Linked DNA regions of Coturnix japonica. The protein of the gene in region 3 purifies or fractionates together with the protein of the main gene of each other region. This does not show direct contact. Links are inferred from orthologs where the notes say so. Each region holds a gene or a part of one and is shown on either strand. Other genes may lie near its edges. The genes, in order: DCAF7, DYRK1A and FAM117B.

Region 1 (5,620 bases), on a different chromosome or scaffold from region 3:
AGTCAGATGCTTTGCTTTTCCTAAAGGTGGGTGAAACAGAGACCCGGCTGGAGTGTTTGCTGAACAATAACAAGAACTCTGACTTCTGTGCTCCACTAACATCATTTGATTGGAATGAAGTGGATCCTTACCTCCTTGGTGAGACTGACAAAATGAAGAAGACACGCTCTTGAATTAAGTCTGGTGAAGTCCCAATGTGATTATGTTTGGTTTTTTGGTTTTTACTCGAGGCTTAAGGGATGGAGAAGTTCATCCCAGAGCTGCATCTTCCACACAGATTGAGGTAGACATAAGCTATTTACACTCTATACCTGTGTAATGTGAAAGACCATATCAGCATCCAAAAGGTTTGGGTCTTTTAAATGCATTGATAGACTGCTTGACATTCTTGATTTTAATTGTATGCTGTTCTTGTGGCTGTTTTGATCTGTAGATATCAGAAACTATTGCCACTTAGTGCATCAGTGGAATTTGTGAGAATCGTGCGAGTTTGCTAATATTTTGCTAAAAGAAGTGCTTTTGTTTCAGGTACCTCTAGCATTGACACAACCTGCACTATTTGGGGTCTGGAGACAGGACAGGTTCTGGGAAGAGTAAACCTGGTCTCTGGCCACGTCAAGACCCAGCTTATTGCACATGACAAAGAGGTGATGGATATTTTTGGTTGTTTACATTGCTTTTCTTTGTTTTTCAAGCAGTAAAGCAACAAAACTTTTGCTTTCTCCTTTGTTTTTTTTCTTGAGAATTCTGATCATTCAAAAATCTAATGATCCACAATTAAGATTTATGAGTTTCAGGTGCATTAATTATAGGTAAAATACAGTTTTAATGTATTACAAACTAATTAAAGCTGTTCTATCAGCTATCAGAACTACTCTGCTTACTTACCATAGAATCTGGACTTGAGAATATATTTGTTTTACAAGATTATGCTACAGAATATTTTTGGAAGAATCAAACTGGAATTGTAATCAATTGCGTATCAAAGGCAATAAACATCTTACAGGATTCTTTCATTTTAATGTAATATCTGAATCCAGAAAGTACCTATGTTCTGTTTCAGTGAATAATCCTGTAATTATACAACTTGTTTTTTCCTCTCCCTTTGGCTTAAGAACTTGCTAGGAAACTCAAGTATTTGACAAAAAGTATTACAGTAGTAGTAGTAACAATTTCTTCTGTCCATATAGGAAATGCATTTAGCTGTGGATTAGGAGGCAGGATGCTCACTAAAACCCGGGTTGTTTTTTTTCTGTTTTGGTGTTGAGCAGGTGTATGATATAGCATTTAGCCGTGCAGGTGGTGGGAGAGATATGTTCGCTTCGGTTGGTGCAGATGGCTCAGTGAGGATGTTTGATCTCCGTCATCTGGAACATAGCACCATAATTTATGAAGACCCACAACACCATCCATTGCTGCGTCTCTGCTGGAATAAGCAGGATCCCAACTATCTTGCCACAATGGCCATGGATGGCATGGAGGTAAGGCGGTAGTTCTGCAGAAGGAACAAGGCAATTTGAGGGAGGTGGTTTGGTCATTTACACTTAGTTCTTAAAGTGAAGGTGCAGTAAGTGGAGCATGAGAAAGGCCAATTCTTGTTGCAGTAATTTCAGTAGGAGCTAGAGGTAAGTTTGGCATTATAAATGTGAAGGTCTCTGTGCCCCCCTCTATATTTCAGTCAATTTATGAGGGTTCCATGAGCCAGTTGGGCAGCAGCTCTCACATAAAACAGTAAGTGTGAGTATTTTAGTCACCTTGTTCTTTCTCAGCTCTTTGCACCAGGCAGTGTACCGTAGATTTTTACCTGAACTGCTTCAGGGAAGCATGAGTCACTTTTTTTTTCATAACTCACAAGCGTCCTATGTGAGGTCTGACTACTTCTGAAATGCACACAACATGCTGACCAGCTAGAAACTGTTCTTTCAGAACAATGTGTGCTTGCCAAATGCATCCTTTTGGAAGGTATTTAAAGCCTTAGTTCAAAACTCTTTGCTCTCTGGATGGGATGAGAGATGGAAATACAAGTTATTAACTTAGCTTGATTTTTGTTTCTGAAGGTTGTGATTCTCGATGTCAGAGTTCCCTGCACTCCTGTTGCCAGGTTAAACAACCACAGAGCATGTGTAAATGGAATTGCTTGGGCACCTCATTCTTCCTGCCACATTTGTACAGCAGGTAAGCATGGAAAGAGATTCTTGGTCACGCTCTTACCGTCTCTGCTGGTGAGCCTGGTGCTCTAGCTGTGCATCTCCTTTGGCTAAGCTGTTTTATTTCAGTGCTGCTGAACTTATTTTGCAATTTAGTTCTGAAGTGTTTGCACTTTGAGTTCCACCAATTGTGTTTTTAACTTTGTCCTGGATGACATAATTATCCAAAGATGTGTACGAGTTCTACTTGGAGAGCAGTTCTATCATTGTATCTGTCTCACTTTCTTATCTGAACTGCAAGGTCTATATTCAAACTAGCTTTTTACTACACCCCTCTTAGTAGCCATGTATGGACATCTTGTTGTGCTTTGATCCCACTTAGGATTTCGTTTTCTTTTGCAGCGGATGACCATCAGGCTCTCATCTGGGACATCCAGCAAATGCCTCGTGCCATTGAGGACCCTATCTTGGCCTATACAGCAGAGGGAGAAATCAACAATGTACAGTGGGCATCAACTCAGCCAGACTGGATAGCTATCTGCTACAACAACTGCCTGGAAATTTTGAGAGTGTAACACTACTGCTTCATGCCTAATTGAGGCAGGGCTGTATAATTTCCCCACCCCTCTAAAGTAAGAACAACACAAGTCAAGTGGCCAGTATCTGTTGTTGCTTTGCATCTACTGTTCCAAGAAACTGTTACAAGAATCAATGGCAGGTGTCTCCTGTCTCTCCAAGACTCTAAAATGCAGAGACACGCTGAGCCTCTTGGACCTTTTGGGTTCTGGTTTTCTTTGTTTTTGTTTCCCTCAGTTAAAGTTCTGTATATTTGTTTGTTGACTGTGTTAATAAGCTTGCAGGCTTTAAGTTGCTGCGTATGTCCAAGTGTTTGTCAGCTAGCCAGGGCGGCACATCTACCTAGTTTAATAGATGCAAGTGCAAAACAAGGTGGGGAAAAAGATGGTAATGTTAACAGCCACCTTGGCAGGAATCTTTATCATTCCTGTTGTTGCTGCCTCTAAACTGTTTAAACATTTGTATGTTTTTTATATATTGGGCTAACTTTCTATTGAGTAAGGCTTTTCTCCCGAATTCTTACTTTTGATATGTGATCCACTTCCATATACCTAAAGCAGGATATCTTTGTTGATACAAATCACAAAACAACACTGCAGGCTCCCTGGCAGTAAAGGCCTGCCAGAACTAACTGTTGCCTTGGCTCTCAATACCTGGTTACTTGGTGCTGTGAAGTACAAGTACTTGTTGCACAATTTCTTTACACTTCTCTGATGCTAGAGGCAGCTGCTACTATGGCAGGCCTTATTTTTAAATAAGAACTGCATTTACTGTGTGTCTCCTGCAGTTGTGGTAGCTAACAGAACGGTAATGGGTTTCAGACGGAAGGTATTTGCATGACTTGAGCTCCCTCTGAGGGAAATGACTTAAGAAAAAAAATGCTATTTGTAATAATGGACTCTGGATTGACGTTTCCAATGAAATGATTTCCCCTTAGAGGGCTTACGATCTGAACCAAAATAAAATGGTTTCACACTTTGTAGCTTGCTTGATTAGCAGATAACACGAGCAAGATCTTGTGGTTAACCAGTGCCATGGAGCTTCTTTGCATTTGTTCTGTGTTCCTGGGAGTTCTTGAAAGGAGGACCCTTTTTTTCCTAAACATGTTTGCTTTGTACTGTCGGGTCTTGTTGAATGAATGAGATGAGGTGGAAGAACTCATCCACCATCCAAATGAAAGCTGTTTCTCTGAAAGAAATAATTCCCTAATGTAATGCTCAGAAGACAGATTTCAAGTGAAAGAAACAGTGCCGCAGAGGCTATAGTTCGGTGCTTGTCATCCTTGTGGTTATTTGAGATGCATCCAAGGGCATCTGTTTCTGTTTTGAATAGTGGAATGCTTTACAGTAATACACTGCAATCAAAGCTGAGTGGATTAGACAAGATAAAAATCTGTACTGAAGTCTTAATATAGCACAGGTATTGAGATAAAAGCTCCACAGTGCTCTTCTTCCAATGAAGACATGACAGCTGTAGCTGGTCCATGGGGGTATAGCAGCTGAGTTTTGATGGAAATGTCAGAAACGATCAGCGCTGTCTTTCTACCTGATGTATATTCACCTGCAACTGCAGGCAGCATTAAAAACAGTAGAGCACTTGCAAACTGTGTTTCATCAGCTTGTGTGGGAAATGCAGGTTAGGAAAAGGGACTGCAGGGAAACAGTGAAGCTAATGCAGAAAGCAATATCCAATACAGAATGGACTCTGGGAAGTTATGTTGTTCTGGACGTAAGAATGTTCTTGCACGGATGACTTCCTGACATGGAGCTTAGAAGAGCACTGCCTTGCAAGTCCTGTTTGCAGTTCCTTAGAGGCAGCATTACTGCATCACCTCTTGTAATATCAGAGCCGAGGACTCTTAACAGTTTAAGCTCATGTTTTGTCAGTGACATTCTGTGTTCAGCTGTGGGATTTTTGACAGCAGGCTTCATTTGGCTTGGCAATAGGTTTTCATACTAGCTGCGATGCTGAGAGTAGAGTGTTCCACAGGTAACGTGATCTAGATATCAGAGCAGTATTAGCCAAATAGTTGGGTTATAACTTTTGCAGTAGCATTTTGTTGTAAGTTGTAAAATACTTATGCAGAATTAAGTGAAAATTAGGGTTTTCTTAGCAGCAGCACATAATTGCATCCAGAGATTTAGAAACTCAAGAATACATCCACTGACTTACAGTGTTTTATTACAAACAGTAGGTGTAATGTCCTGTGTCACTGAGAGGGATTTTAACTTTGGCTTGGAGTGCAAGCTTAATGGGTACTAAGCAATCTCTTAATTTGATTTGTGCATTGGGAAATGATGGGAACTACCAGAAGTCGTCTTTGTGTTTCGAAGTCTCACACTTGCATAGGTGGCATAAGTTAAAAGATGATGAACACGCCTGCTGCTTGGGAGCAGATTTGTTTTAAACAGCTGTAGAATTGTTCTTTGAAAAAGAGATAAGCTAATTTAGTTGAAAATAAAGTGGCTAGAAGGTTCCATAGGCTGTACTAAATGGCAAACACAGTCAGTTCCTCTAGGAATAGAGTCTGTTGTGCTGTGATGATTAGCATGGAAGGGCTAATCATCAAATAATCAGATAGCTTTTGCTCATGCTGGAGAACTACTGTCCTGTTGTGAACCCAACGAGTGTCAGTCCCTCCATTCATAAAACTGATTGAAGTTCACACATGGAATTGAGTTCTCATTCCAAACTACTCAAAGGCAAGTGAAGGAATTTTGTAGACTCCAGGGGGTTCTAAATAAAGCGTGTATCCTGTTTGTTTAGCCGGTCGATCTGCCTCCTAGATCTGTAACGTGTTGCTTTGGGCATCATCTGTTGTCATTCTTCACATGAAATTACATTTCAAATCACTAGAGGCTGTTTTGGAACAGGGAGATGCTGCTTAAAATAGCTTC
Region 2 (5,620 bases), on a different chromosome or scaffold from region 3:
TAGTTATTAGTTGTTCTAATAGGCAGCTAGCTATGTGGTGGCCAGCAGCTGTAACTAAACAGTTCCAAAACCGAAGAAGGACTAAGAGAGTATGGAAAATGAACTAGCTGAATCACTTGAGAGACATGGAGAAATCCTCACATTTGCAGAACCTACATGAAAACTGGCGTGTTTTTGGTTTTGGTTGGTTTTTTTTGTTGTTGTTGATTTTTGTTTTTTGTTTTTTTCTTTTTTTAAAGTATGTTCTACTGCACCCAGAAGATACAGGCTCCATGATGTAGAAATAACTAGATTGAATCCTAGGGATAATGGCATGCCAGTCAGAATATTTCATTACCATGGTCACTTCTGGCCTTAAAATCAGCTAGTCTTGTATTAGGTAGAAAGCTGCAGTGCATATAAGAACATTCAAACTAACAGATGATAATATAAACAACTCAAACTACAAATACAGTCAAACAGAATCAAGCAGAGCTGTGTTCATACATCATTGATTTGTATACCTTGCTGTTTCAATTAAAAACTCAAAATTATCCATTATGCCTCCAACTTTTACTTTCATATTTTTAAGTCTGTTTCAATGTATCTGATATTTACATATTATAGTATAATCATACCTACCATACCATGGCTTGGAGTAGGTTAATTGCATAGGAAGATTTACTATGTTTACATTTTTTTTCTTAAATTACTCTTTTTTTTTTTGTTTGTTTGTTTTTTGTTTTTTCAAAAAGCACAGTAAAGAGTCTGAGGACAAATTATTCAACTGTTTATCATACATAAGACTGCATGACTATAATACAAAGGGCTTGTCTTTTTCATTTAACGTTACAATATACACAGCAAGTCCGGACTAGATCTTACAATCTGAACACAGGTATTTAACCTTTTCCATGCTGTTTATGTTTACAATGCACAGAAGTCCTGTAACCAAACTGTGTAGTAAAGCACACAAAACTGGACTGTAACATAACACAGTATGCATAAGCACTGGATTTTGTGGTTTCTTCTTTATGTAGTTAGTTTGTTTTTTATTAATTGCTTCGTTTTTTGGCGCTTGCTAAGGTGTGGCAACCCGTGCACACAAAAATACCCAGATTTCATATCACCCTTATATTCCTAGACAGCAGTAAGTACTGGATTCCTTTTTATATTGCTGAACTCAGTATCCTTTTTGTTTTTAAGGTGACAGCTTTCCAATCCCTGTAAACTTCTCTTAATCACTGAGTTTAAGAAGAAAGGAAAACAATCAGGAAAAAAACAACCCACTTTCATCCACAGGGTTGACACTTCAATAGAAAAGAAATATGGATCACTTGATAAAAAAGTCGTGATTTACCAAAAAAAAAAAAAAAAAAAGGTAATCCCAAGTATTCATTCTCATGTACATGGTATTCAGCTGCTGTGCTGCTACTGCAAGTATAAAAAAGTCCACCTTTTAGTCTGAAAAAAAATTACTTAGCCACATGGAACTGATCAGTGTGAACTCCGGAATTTCTGCTGAATTAACTTTTAAAAGGGCTTACTGGCAGAGGTAGATCACTGCTTCTGTAATATATAATGGGCAAACAGTGTTAATCTGGGATGGGCAATCACTGACTCACTCTTATTCTTTCAGATGTTTTTCACCATGCTTTTACTTCTAATATTAATAAATCTCTGACTGGGCCCATAAATTTTGCAACTGCCAAGCTGACTGTGTTATATTAAGGCAGCATTACCCAAAAATTAGGCACCTGTTAAATACAGCCTTCTAACCTCAGGTCTCATGTGAGTGTTTTGCTTTACTCAGACTATTATTTTGGACCTGTTCATGCAATCAAGGTCTTGCCTTCAAGTTTACAATTATGTTAATAAGGAATACAAGAATCAAACTGCTGGTTTCATAGCTTCTGGATCTAGCGTCCCTTTTACCTTCAGAAGCCTGAACACGTTTATAATGTAACAGATGTTATAGTCTTGAAGTAGATGTCAATCTATTATGTTCAGTACACAGATTGCTGTAAATGTATTGGCTATGAATTCAACAACAGTTCCAGTTTTGTTTAAGCAATAGTACAGCCATAATTTTCAACTGACATTTAAAAATGGTCTAGTTACACCTTGTGTCAAAGTGCAGAACTGCTACATTATTGGTTACAGACATCTATGTGCTATAAAAACAGCTTTGGTACAATAAATTATCAAAAAAGAAAATAAATTTTTGTAAAATTCACAGCATAATTGTGAGGCAAAAAAGCAGTCACATAAAATTCTGCATTTTTAAAAATGTTCAGGATGAACAGAAGACGTCTTTGTGCAGAAGTAATGGTGGAGAAACCACGTGCCAAGAAAAAGCAAAAGAAAAAAGTAAAAAGCGGGAAGGGACACAGTTGTAGCTATTTCCATCAAACGCAAACCACTACTCCTGTGACCTTCAACCAATAAGGAAGTCAACTTTATGACACACGCAAAGTGACCTTGCAATACCTTACAATAAGTGGGTCACAAAAGTCTATTTTAAAAGAAAGGCCTCTTGAATTACCCATTCTCTGTGTTTTCAGCATTAAGGACCGTCTGCAAAAGCATGTCCAAAAGTGATTGCATCTGAAATGGTAGGCTCTTCTAACTTAAGAGTCCAAATCCATAAGGCCAAAGGTTATCCCAAAGACCACCACTTAGACCTCCCCACGACTGGCCAGGACCGACCCGTTGATTGCTTCTCAGTGCACCTTAGTTATGAAACCAGTCATATTTCAACACTAACTGACTGCGGTCTCCAAAATATGAGACACGCAGAATCCCATTACAATTGCTGCTTTGATCCTCAGTAGATTCAGATAAGGAGAGTTCTGATCACCGCCACTTATCATGCTTAATGTGCCTTACAAAATCCATTACAACCGTCCCTTTTTACAACTGAAGAATATATATTTGTGTGATCTGAAGGTCCCTCTTTCTTACAGTACTGCATTTCTGTGCCCATGTTTGTTTGGGGAACTAAAAAAAAATACACTTATCTTATTCACTCCTCTCCCACCCAAAAATTTCAAAGGGCCTTTTTGTAAATCATGTGCAATGCCATTAAAAAGAAACTAGTTTGCAACTACAGCTAACATTTGAACAATAATCCCTGTTGAATGAGTCTGAAAAAGGGGGGAAAAAAAACCAAAAAAATTTTAAAAAACCCCTCTTTCTCCCCTCCCCTCCCCAGTCCCCAAGAAAAAAAAAGCAAACTATGACTAGGTTGTGGCAAGTTAAAATGGGGGAAGCGAAAGGTGAACGCTACTATGCTATCTGTTAAGGTGGGTCCGGACATGGCTCTTAAAAAAACAAACCAAACCAAAAAAAACTTCATTGTCCCTTTGCAATCTTTTCAAGTCTAAAAAAATAGTCAGCTTTGCCCTCCTGTAGCGGTTCAGTGAGTTTATCTCCTTCTGATTCAAGCAGCTTTGCACTTTGTTTTTGGAAAAACACCACTTCTATAAAAACACACAAGAAACAAACTTAGTTTCAGTTTAGTCACGAGCTAGCCACAGGACTTTGCTGAACACAAACTCCTGTCATGGGAGACTCTTCTCTATCAATCCCTTGCCTCATTGCAAGGTGTCCTTCAGTCATGTAATGAGCAGGACCTGTATTAGCAGAAAACTGGTACGTTGGATGTCCAGCTATGCCAGTTTCTTGGCGCGGATTAGAGTAGACTGTTAAATTCATGTCCATAGCTCCATTTTGTCCAAAGTCCAAGGTATTAGCAGCCACTGGGCGGTTCTGATAGGCCTGATTGCCTTGGTTACCAGTAGAGGAGGAAGATGTAGAGGAAGAAGTAGTTGAGGAAGACAGGGATGTCATGGAGTGGTGACTGTGGCCCACCTCCATAGAATCCTGGGTGGAGGAGCTGTTTGTTGGAGAATTGTAGACCCTTGGCCTGGTCCGGCTACCCAAGGCTTGCTGTCCATGATGATGGTGGTGGTGGTGGTGGTGATGGTGGTGGTGAGAGCTATTTCCGTGATGATGATGTAATGCATTCTGTTGTTGAGGGGTTACATGGAAGGTGGTTTCTTGAACTGGATGGTTTTCAACAGTGACCTGTGTGGGAGCTTCAGTGGCTGTCCAACCAATCGGAGGAGGAAACTGTTGTCGAACCTACGTTAACAGGAAAAGCAAATAGTGAAATGATTATTCATTTCTAATATACATTTCTAAATATAAAAAGTTTGTATTCTGAACTTTTTTTTTCCCAAACAATAAAAGTATGTCCAATTAATGATCTCACTGACAAATTAAAGTAAGCCAGATCTAGAAACACATCAATTTGTTGAATGAGTTAAATCACATACATGGGAGAAAAAGAATCTGTCAGCTGCAAAGTAGTATGTACAACCTTTTCTGGTTTCCATGGGCCTCTCCAGGAGCTGCAGCAGAGCTCCTGACCCACACCTGGTGCATATGCTGCCCTCCCCTGCTCAAGACCTTGGCACCAGCAGAGCTGTTTCTTTCTATAGTTAGTCATTCCTTTCTCCCAGTTGCTGCTGTACAGTCTTTTTTTTCCCCTTTCTTGAATCTGCTACCACAGAGGTGCAACCAGTGTCACTTCTTGGCTCAGTTCTGGCCAACAGCTGGTCCCTTTTTTAAGCCAGATGGAGCTTGCTCTTATCTAACTTGGGTCAGCTCCTAGATTTTTCCCAGACGACACCTGTGCATCCCCCCTCCACTCATGACATGAATCCCTGTCATGTAAACCTAATATAATTAGTTTCAGGGATTCAACACTCTCAGAAAAAATATATACATCAAACAGACAAAAGCTCTACTTCAGCATACCTGTGGGCTGTGTGTTTCACAGTCCATAGCTTGAACAGCAGCAGTGAAGTGTCCACCACTATGTCGATGCTGGTGTGTGGGGTCTGACCGTGCCCTTCCACTGTTGCTTGTTCCAGAAGATCCACCTATAAAAATCATAGCAACACAACAAGAGAAAAAATTTACAGAAGGTCGCAGACAACAACAGCATAAAGATTTGAACTGATTCGAACACAGGACCTATGATAATCACTCACAGTTGTGTAAATCTGCTGATTTTTTTTTTTTTTTTTGTTAGAGCACTTTCCTGTTCTAGATAATATATAAATGCTTTCAATGACTGTGACTGACAGTGATATGACTTTTACCTGTGAAAGTCTCCTTTGATGTGATTCAGAAATATAATTTTCTGTTCCATTAAGGGGAAATCCTCACCTGAGCTTGAAGATGTACTGGAGGTGGTTCCTGAAGACTGCGACTGCTCCATAGCAGGACTCGTAGACACACTGTTGCTTGTGTTGGTACCTTCGTCTGCTGTTTTCTTAAAGAAACTATGCTGTAGGGCATAATAAGGTTGAATTCGTGTCTTAGGGTCATAATCAAGCATCCTTAAGATGAGGTCTTTGAACTTCAAGTAGTCAGCTACAGTATGACCCGATTCCCCAGCACGACGTCCACCTGGTCCTCCTGTTTCAACTCCTAGTATATTGTGAAGTTTACGAGTTCCAGGTGGTTTGTATTCCTGTTGGAAAACCAAGTCACATATATTAAGCCACTTCAATTCATGGTTTAATTTTGTCATAAAATAAGTCAGCCAGATCAAAGTAAGAAACTATTA
Region 3 (5,620 bases):
GTTTTGATGCTTTGCAGTTCAGTTAAACTTGAGCATCAGTCATGCTTCTGTGAAGGAGCTTCTCAATGCGTGTGCTTCTGTGTATACATCCCAGGTGAACATTAAAAGCCTTTTGCAATCAAAGGATCAACTGTCTATCACGGAAAAAGCTACAGTAACTTCTTTGAAGGCACTAGAGAAGCTTTTCTATTATGTTTGGAGACAGACATACATACAAGGAGTCATTTTAAGTTCCTTTGCATAAACTAAGACACAGAAGTATTTAACACCAGTGTATTCCAGAGTCTTGCATGCAGTCAGAACAATGAGAAAACAGATCATACAATCATATACTGGCTTGATTTGGAAGGGACCTTGAGAATCTTCTAGTTCCAACCCCCTGCTGTGGACAGTACCACCACCTACCAGATAGGGGACCAAATCAGGCTGTGCAGGACCCCATGCAACCTGGCCTTGAACACCTCTAGGGATGTGGCATGCTTCTATGGGCAGCCTGTTCCAGAACTTTGCCAACTTGTCAGTGAAAAATAACCCCCGACAACTAATCTAAATCTCCTCTCTTCTAGTTCAAAATCATTCCCCCTTGTCCTATCACTATCTACGCAGGCAAAAATTTGATTTCCCTCCTGCTTATAAGCTGCCTTTAAGTACTGGAAAGCTGCTATCAGGTCTTCCCCATACCTTTTCTCCAAGCTAAACAAGCCCAACTTCCTCAGCAGATGTGCAGTGCACAAATGCCTCTCTGGGATAATAAAGTGAACTCATAAAACGTATCACAGTTCATGGTCTTTTCTTATAGAATGCAAATAATTCAAATGCATCACTGCCAAGGTACAATGTCTGCAACATGAAAGCAAACAGGAGCTAGTGAGCAAGAAAGCCAAAGTTCTTTCTTCTTGCATCTAAAGACTATCTTTACACTTAAGTTCTCTGAAGTAAAACAAATCTGACCTACCTGTGTGGCTTTGTCTCTCATACATGGAACAGCTTGTCCGTGATTATCACGAGGCCACTGTCCAGCAAGGTAAGGAGCAGCAAGCGTATCCAATGAGGAAGTCCGGCGAATAATACTGGAAGGGCTTGATGAAGGTGGCCTTGATTTGTCTGCCAAAGTAATAACATTTGATTAGAAAGCAAGAAACTGCCTTCAAAAAGTTGTATAAAACTAGATGCTACTAGAGCTATGATATTATTCCAGATACAAGTAGAACTGTTCACTTTTCCAAGCTCTGTTCAGTTACAACATGCAGTGAAATGTTTTTCCTTGGAAAATATCCTCATGCCACAAACAATGCATCAATACTCCAGCAACATCAGTTACTCAATCAGAGGTGCAAGATGCATTAAGTGATGAAGGCTTCAATTAAAAATGGCAGGATTTCCTGACACCTGCCAACACCTAACCAAGGAAATATGTGCCAAACTTCCTCAATGTAATGCTTCAAATTAATGCATTAATTCCTTCCCCTGTGCCTACCTGAATTCAAGGGATGTTGTAGCTGAAGTGTTCTATTAACTACCCAAAATACGATACACAGCAGATTTGCAGAGTTATATCTAAACCCCAGTTCCTTTAGTCAGCTTTGATAAGGTAATGATTTACACTTCACAAGATAATCAGCACATTTCCTCCCTTTACACACTGCTTGGTAACTGTATTCACATTTGCCTGGCACTAACTAGACTTTCTGCAACTCTTCTAACATTTTATATGATCACACTGACATCACTCCTCAGAACAATTTAGACACTAACAGGAGCCTCCACTGGAAGAGATTAAAAATAACAAAGATAGGAAGCAAAATGAGGCAGGGGAATATGGCTAAAAGAAATCTGCATCCACCAACAACATTTTAAAGTTGCAGTTAGAGGACCATAAGCCAGTAAGTGTCAACTGTGTACAGAAAGGCTCCTCAAAATAAGAGGTGACATTTACTATATTAAAGAAAATGACAAATAGGAAAGACATAGGCCTCAGGTATACATACATTCTCATGCTATTTGTTCTAGATGTAAAAACCAAATTCAGAAATTGAAATGATATAAGCTTATTATCACACTCTTTACTACCCACAGAATTATACCTGATCCTACAAAAACACAGAGGCCTAAGACAAGTGGCTAAAACACAAAGCAAAGAATATTCAGCAATCAGATGAATGCTTTAGAAGGGCTCTGGAAAAACTCAGTCATACGTCCTCTTTCTGACTATGTCTTTGGACGAGTTCCACACTAAAAGCAGAAATACCACAGCAATTTGTACTCTACACGAATTCATCTATGTGCAAAGGAAGCTGGGCCTGATTACTGTCAGACTGCTAGTCCTCAGATAAAACCACTACCATTATACGTCCAGAATTCAATTTCTGTGCTGTTTCAACGTATTCAAGGTACACAGAGACTAATAAAACCTGTTAGTTACAGAGATACAGTGGTGTGGACAACATTCCCAGAATGCCAGTCTTTTACACAAATTTTAATTATCCTCATACAAACTCTGCATTAGAAACATACATTAAAACCATGAAGCACTATAATTATCCCTAATAACATAAAGCAGTCCAGGAACCTCATCTGTTTTATTATTTCCAATTGCACCAACAAAGATCAAACTCTGTGTACTGAGCCGAGTGCTGAACCGCTCTCAGGGAGTTGCACCAAAGCTCAGTTTTCAAGTTACCACACACTTGAAGATTCCTGTATCAAAGAAAGTTTCTGGCTACCACTACCATTCAGCACACTAAAGAGTCTCTTTCTATCAGAAGATTTCAAAACGATTCCTTTTGTTTGCACCATGGGAGAATGCGGCATGCTAATACAACACCTAAGTCCTTACAAATTGGGTTTGCTTCTCACGTTATATCAAACATGTTATTTCTCTGAGAAATAGCTGCCATATTGCCCTTACTTATTTTTCTTCTGAATTATCATTCTTTCTCTTCAAGAAGCTTCTCTCTTTTCTTTTTTGCCAAGGGGAAACAGAAAGGATGTGAGAAAAAATAATCAGGAAGCATGTGTAGTCGTTCACATCATCTGCAAGGCAACTGCAATAGACAGCTTCACAATCGAAGAAGCAGAAGCTGTTACTGTTCCCCCTCCCCCACCAAAATGGTGAGGATGGGGCAAAACAGCGGGGATGAAAGCTGTTTATTATTTAAGTTCAAGGGAAACTGCATCTTTCAAGCTACAAAACCTATAAATACCATAAATGAAAGGAAAAAGACAATCCCTCAGTGAATTTGGATGTCAGAAGACTGTCTTAATTTAGATAGTAAAGGATAATGGCACACACGTTTACTTCCTTTCCACTGTCACAAACGCCTTGATACAAATTGCCACAGACTACTACTCCACGCTGCTTCAAAACACTTCAATGGAAACACGCAGCGCCTTCATTGCCTTTCCCTCTACAACACTCGAAGCGTTCAGCTGCTATTTTCCCTTGATGTGACCTACATAACAAGAGATCTGCCTCCATAGAGATAACAGTTACAACAGCTGTGGCTGATGAAAAACAATGGGGATGTTTCATCAAACGTACAGTCCTTAAATATTAGATCTGTTCTAATTACCCCAATTAACTCTTTAAACTAATATTTGTGGAAAGCATCAACCCTCCTACCCGTCCCCTACTGCCCTAAATAAACCCGTTTAGAAACAAAGTCTTTCTGCAAGCTGGTTTCCAACAAAGCAAAGTAACAGAATGAGATATAAACAGGACACACACAACACAAATCAGCAAAGTCCACAATGTGGGAAAACACCCAGTAGTTACTGCAGCACTATGGCAAACCACCTATCCATATATCTATCTGGACATCCATCCACAGAACCTCTGAAGGCCATTTAAGCTAAGGCAGCATAACAATGAGACCGGACAGCAAAATAAAACAGGTAGAGATGCTTAGCAATAACCAACTGAATAGCAGGAATGATAATACTGCCTTGGGGTGGGGTCTTCTTAACACAAGTCCCACAGCTACAGTCACACTGATGTCCTTTCTCAGTTGTAGGACTGCACACCTATAAACTGGAGACCTCACAAAGGAACACTGATGCAGAGAGAAGCTTGTTCATGTTGCATCGCAAGCATTCATGAGGCTCAAATGGCACTGAGACACAAAGCATGACCACGTTTCCCCTCTGGAAGGTAGTCTTGGCTATTACCTTCCTAAAGATGTAGAAGAACTACACACTAATTTGCATGAAAACACTTCTAATTCAAACACTCCCTGGCAGCCTCGACCGCAAGAAATCTAAATTACGATGCTGCAAAAAAGGAGTTCACTTTCTGTACACTTATCATTTGTAAACAGCTTACACTAACAAAGAGGCCACCTGATGGTACACAAAGTCTTCTGTACTCTCTTAACCTACACTCACATCTTCTATAACTACAGCAACGTACAGTAATTAATGCTGACAGGTCTGCAGCTATTATTTTGCTTTTCACTGAGTTTTAAAAATAATTCTACAGTGACATTTAAGTGTGATGGAGCTCCTCGTCTTTTCTCTCCAGCCAGGACAAGTTCACATCCAAGCTCTATGACTTCCTGATATCCCATTCTAAGTCTCCTTCACTTCCTTTCACACGAGTAGGCTTTAGGATCTCTTTATCACGTACTATTCTAATTAAAATACAGGGTAGTTTGAGATAAAAATAAAGGGAAGAAAGTCAACAAGGCATTACAGATGCCAAACTCGTTATGTAGAAAAGGAACATGTGCTGGAAGAAAGGGAAAAAAAACCCCACATGACTAACTTCCTCTAACAGAGGTCTGCAGATGAGTAAAGGTGCCTATGCAAGAACTGAACTGCAAGAACTGGAGATGGCAGGATACACCTTGCAGCACAGGAATAAGGCAAAGGAGTCAGTCGTCATGCAGGTGACAGGAACAACAGCGCAGTAACTGAAAAATCAGTATTTATTCATACAGAAGCAGAAGCTAAAGCCCGTGAAATCAGTGCTGGAGACTGCAGGGAGAGAAGATCAGAGAACAAAACATGCTGTGAGAAGATCTAATCTCCTGGCCTTACCTTGGGAGGAAGCAGGAAGAAAAACCCAGGAATGTAGGGAATGTGCCACCAAACCTCCAGCTTATAGTTACCCCAATGTCAATAGCAAATTCAGCTCAGTATTTTGAACGTCTCGTTGCAGTCCTGCTCAGAGTACCTAAGTCTAAAGCAAACAAACCAAGCCAGAAAATACACACCCAGAGAAAGAACCTATTAAACCAACGTTTCTGTACCAACCTAATGTTCCTTATGTATTAAGGAGGATGATAAGAACTCCCAGTTCTAAACTACTCAACTACTTACTAGAAAAGAACAGCTGAAAACCAGGGAGTCGAGCCTAAAGCGCACAAACTGCAGAATCAATACTGAAGTTCAGAAGCAGCTACCATTTGTCTGACCTTAAGGCTCCTTTCAATCCAAAGGAACAGACAAAAACAATAACCCCAAACCACAACGTGGCTGCAGCTATAGGAACAAACAGAAGCCACCAAAAACTGAAAACAAGAAGCAGGAAAATCTGATATTCTGTAGGTTCTGATGTTACCCTATGGTGTCCTGTACAGCTTCACAACTCCAGTCTCAGTTCCACTTCCACGTTCCTGCC

Evidence for each region.
Region 1: the proteins of FAM117B (region 3) and DCAF7 purify together in Homo sapiens (affinity purification with mass spectrometry; 3 studies listed by BioGRID and IntAct, with this or other methods). This does not show direct contact. The link is inferred for Coturnix japonica from reciprocal best matches to the Homo sapiens genes FAM117B and DCAF7.
Region 2: the proteins of FAM117B (region 3) and DYRK1A purify together in Homo sapiens (affinity purification with mass spectrometry; 8 studies listed by BioGRID and IntAct, counting the BioPlex papers as one, with this or other methods). This does not show direct contact. The link is inferred for Coturnix japonica from reciprocal best matches to the Homo sapiens genes FAM117B and DYRK1A.

Annotation. Positions count from the first base shown.
Region 1 is NC_029542.1:2,165,122-2,170,741, forward strand, and holds part of DCAF7 (DDB1- and CUL4-associated factor 7), read left to right. Parts: intron 1-26; coding exon 27-138; intron 139-528; coding exon 529-647; intron 648-1,271; coding exon 1,272-1,481; intron 1,482-2,057; coding exon 2,058-2,175; intron 2,176-2,549; coding exon 2,550-2,722; 3' UTR 2,723-5,620. UniProt on the Homo sapiens protein: Involved in craniofacial development. Acts upstream of the EDN1 pathway and is required for formation of the upper jaw equivalent, the palatoquadrate. The activity required for EDN1 pathway function differs between the first and second arches.
Region 2 is NC_029516.1:96,484,432-96,490,051, reverse strand, and holds the end of DYRK1A (dual specificity tyrosine-phosphorylation-regulated kinase 1A), read right to left. Parts: intron 5,525-5,620; coding exon 5,218-5,524; intron 4,929-5,217; coding exon 4,804-4,928; intron 4,126-4,803; coding exon 3,502-4,125; 3' UTR 310-3,501; downstream 1-309. UniProt on the Homo sapiens protein: Dual-specificity kinase which possesses both serine/threonine and tyrosine kinase activities. Exhibits a substrate preference for proline at position P+1 and arginine at position P-3.
Region 3 is NC_029522.1:10,402,776-10,408,395, reverse strand, and holds part of FAM117B (protein FAM117B), read right to left. Parts: intron 1,105-5,620; coding exon 956-1,104; intron 1-955.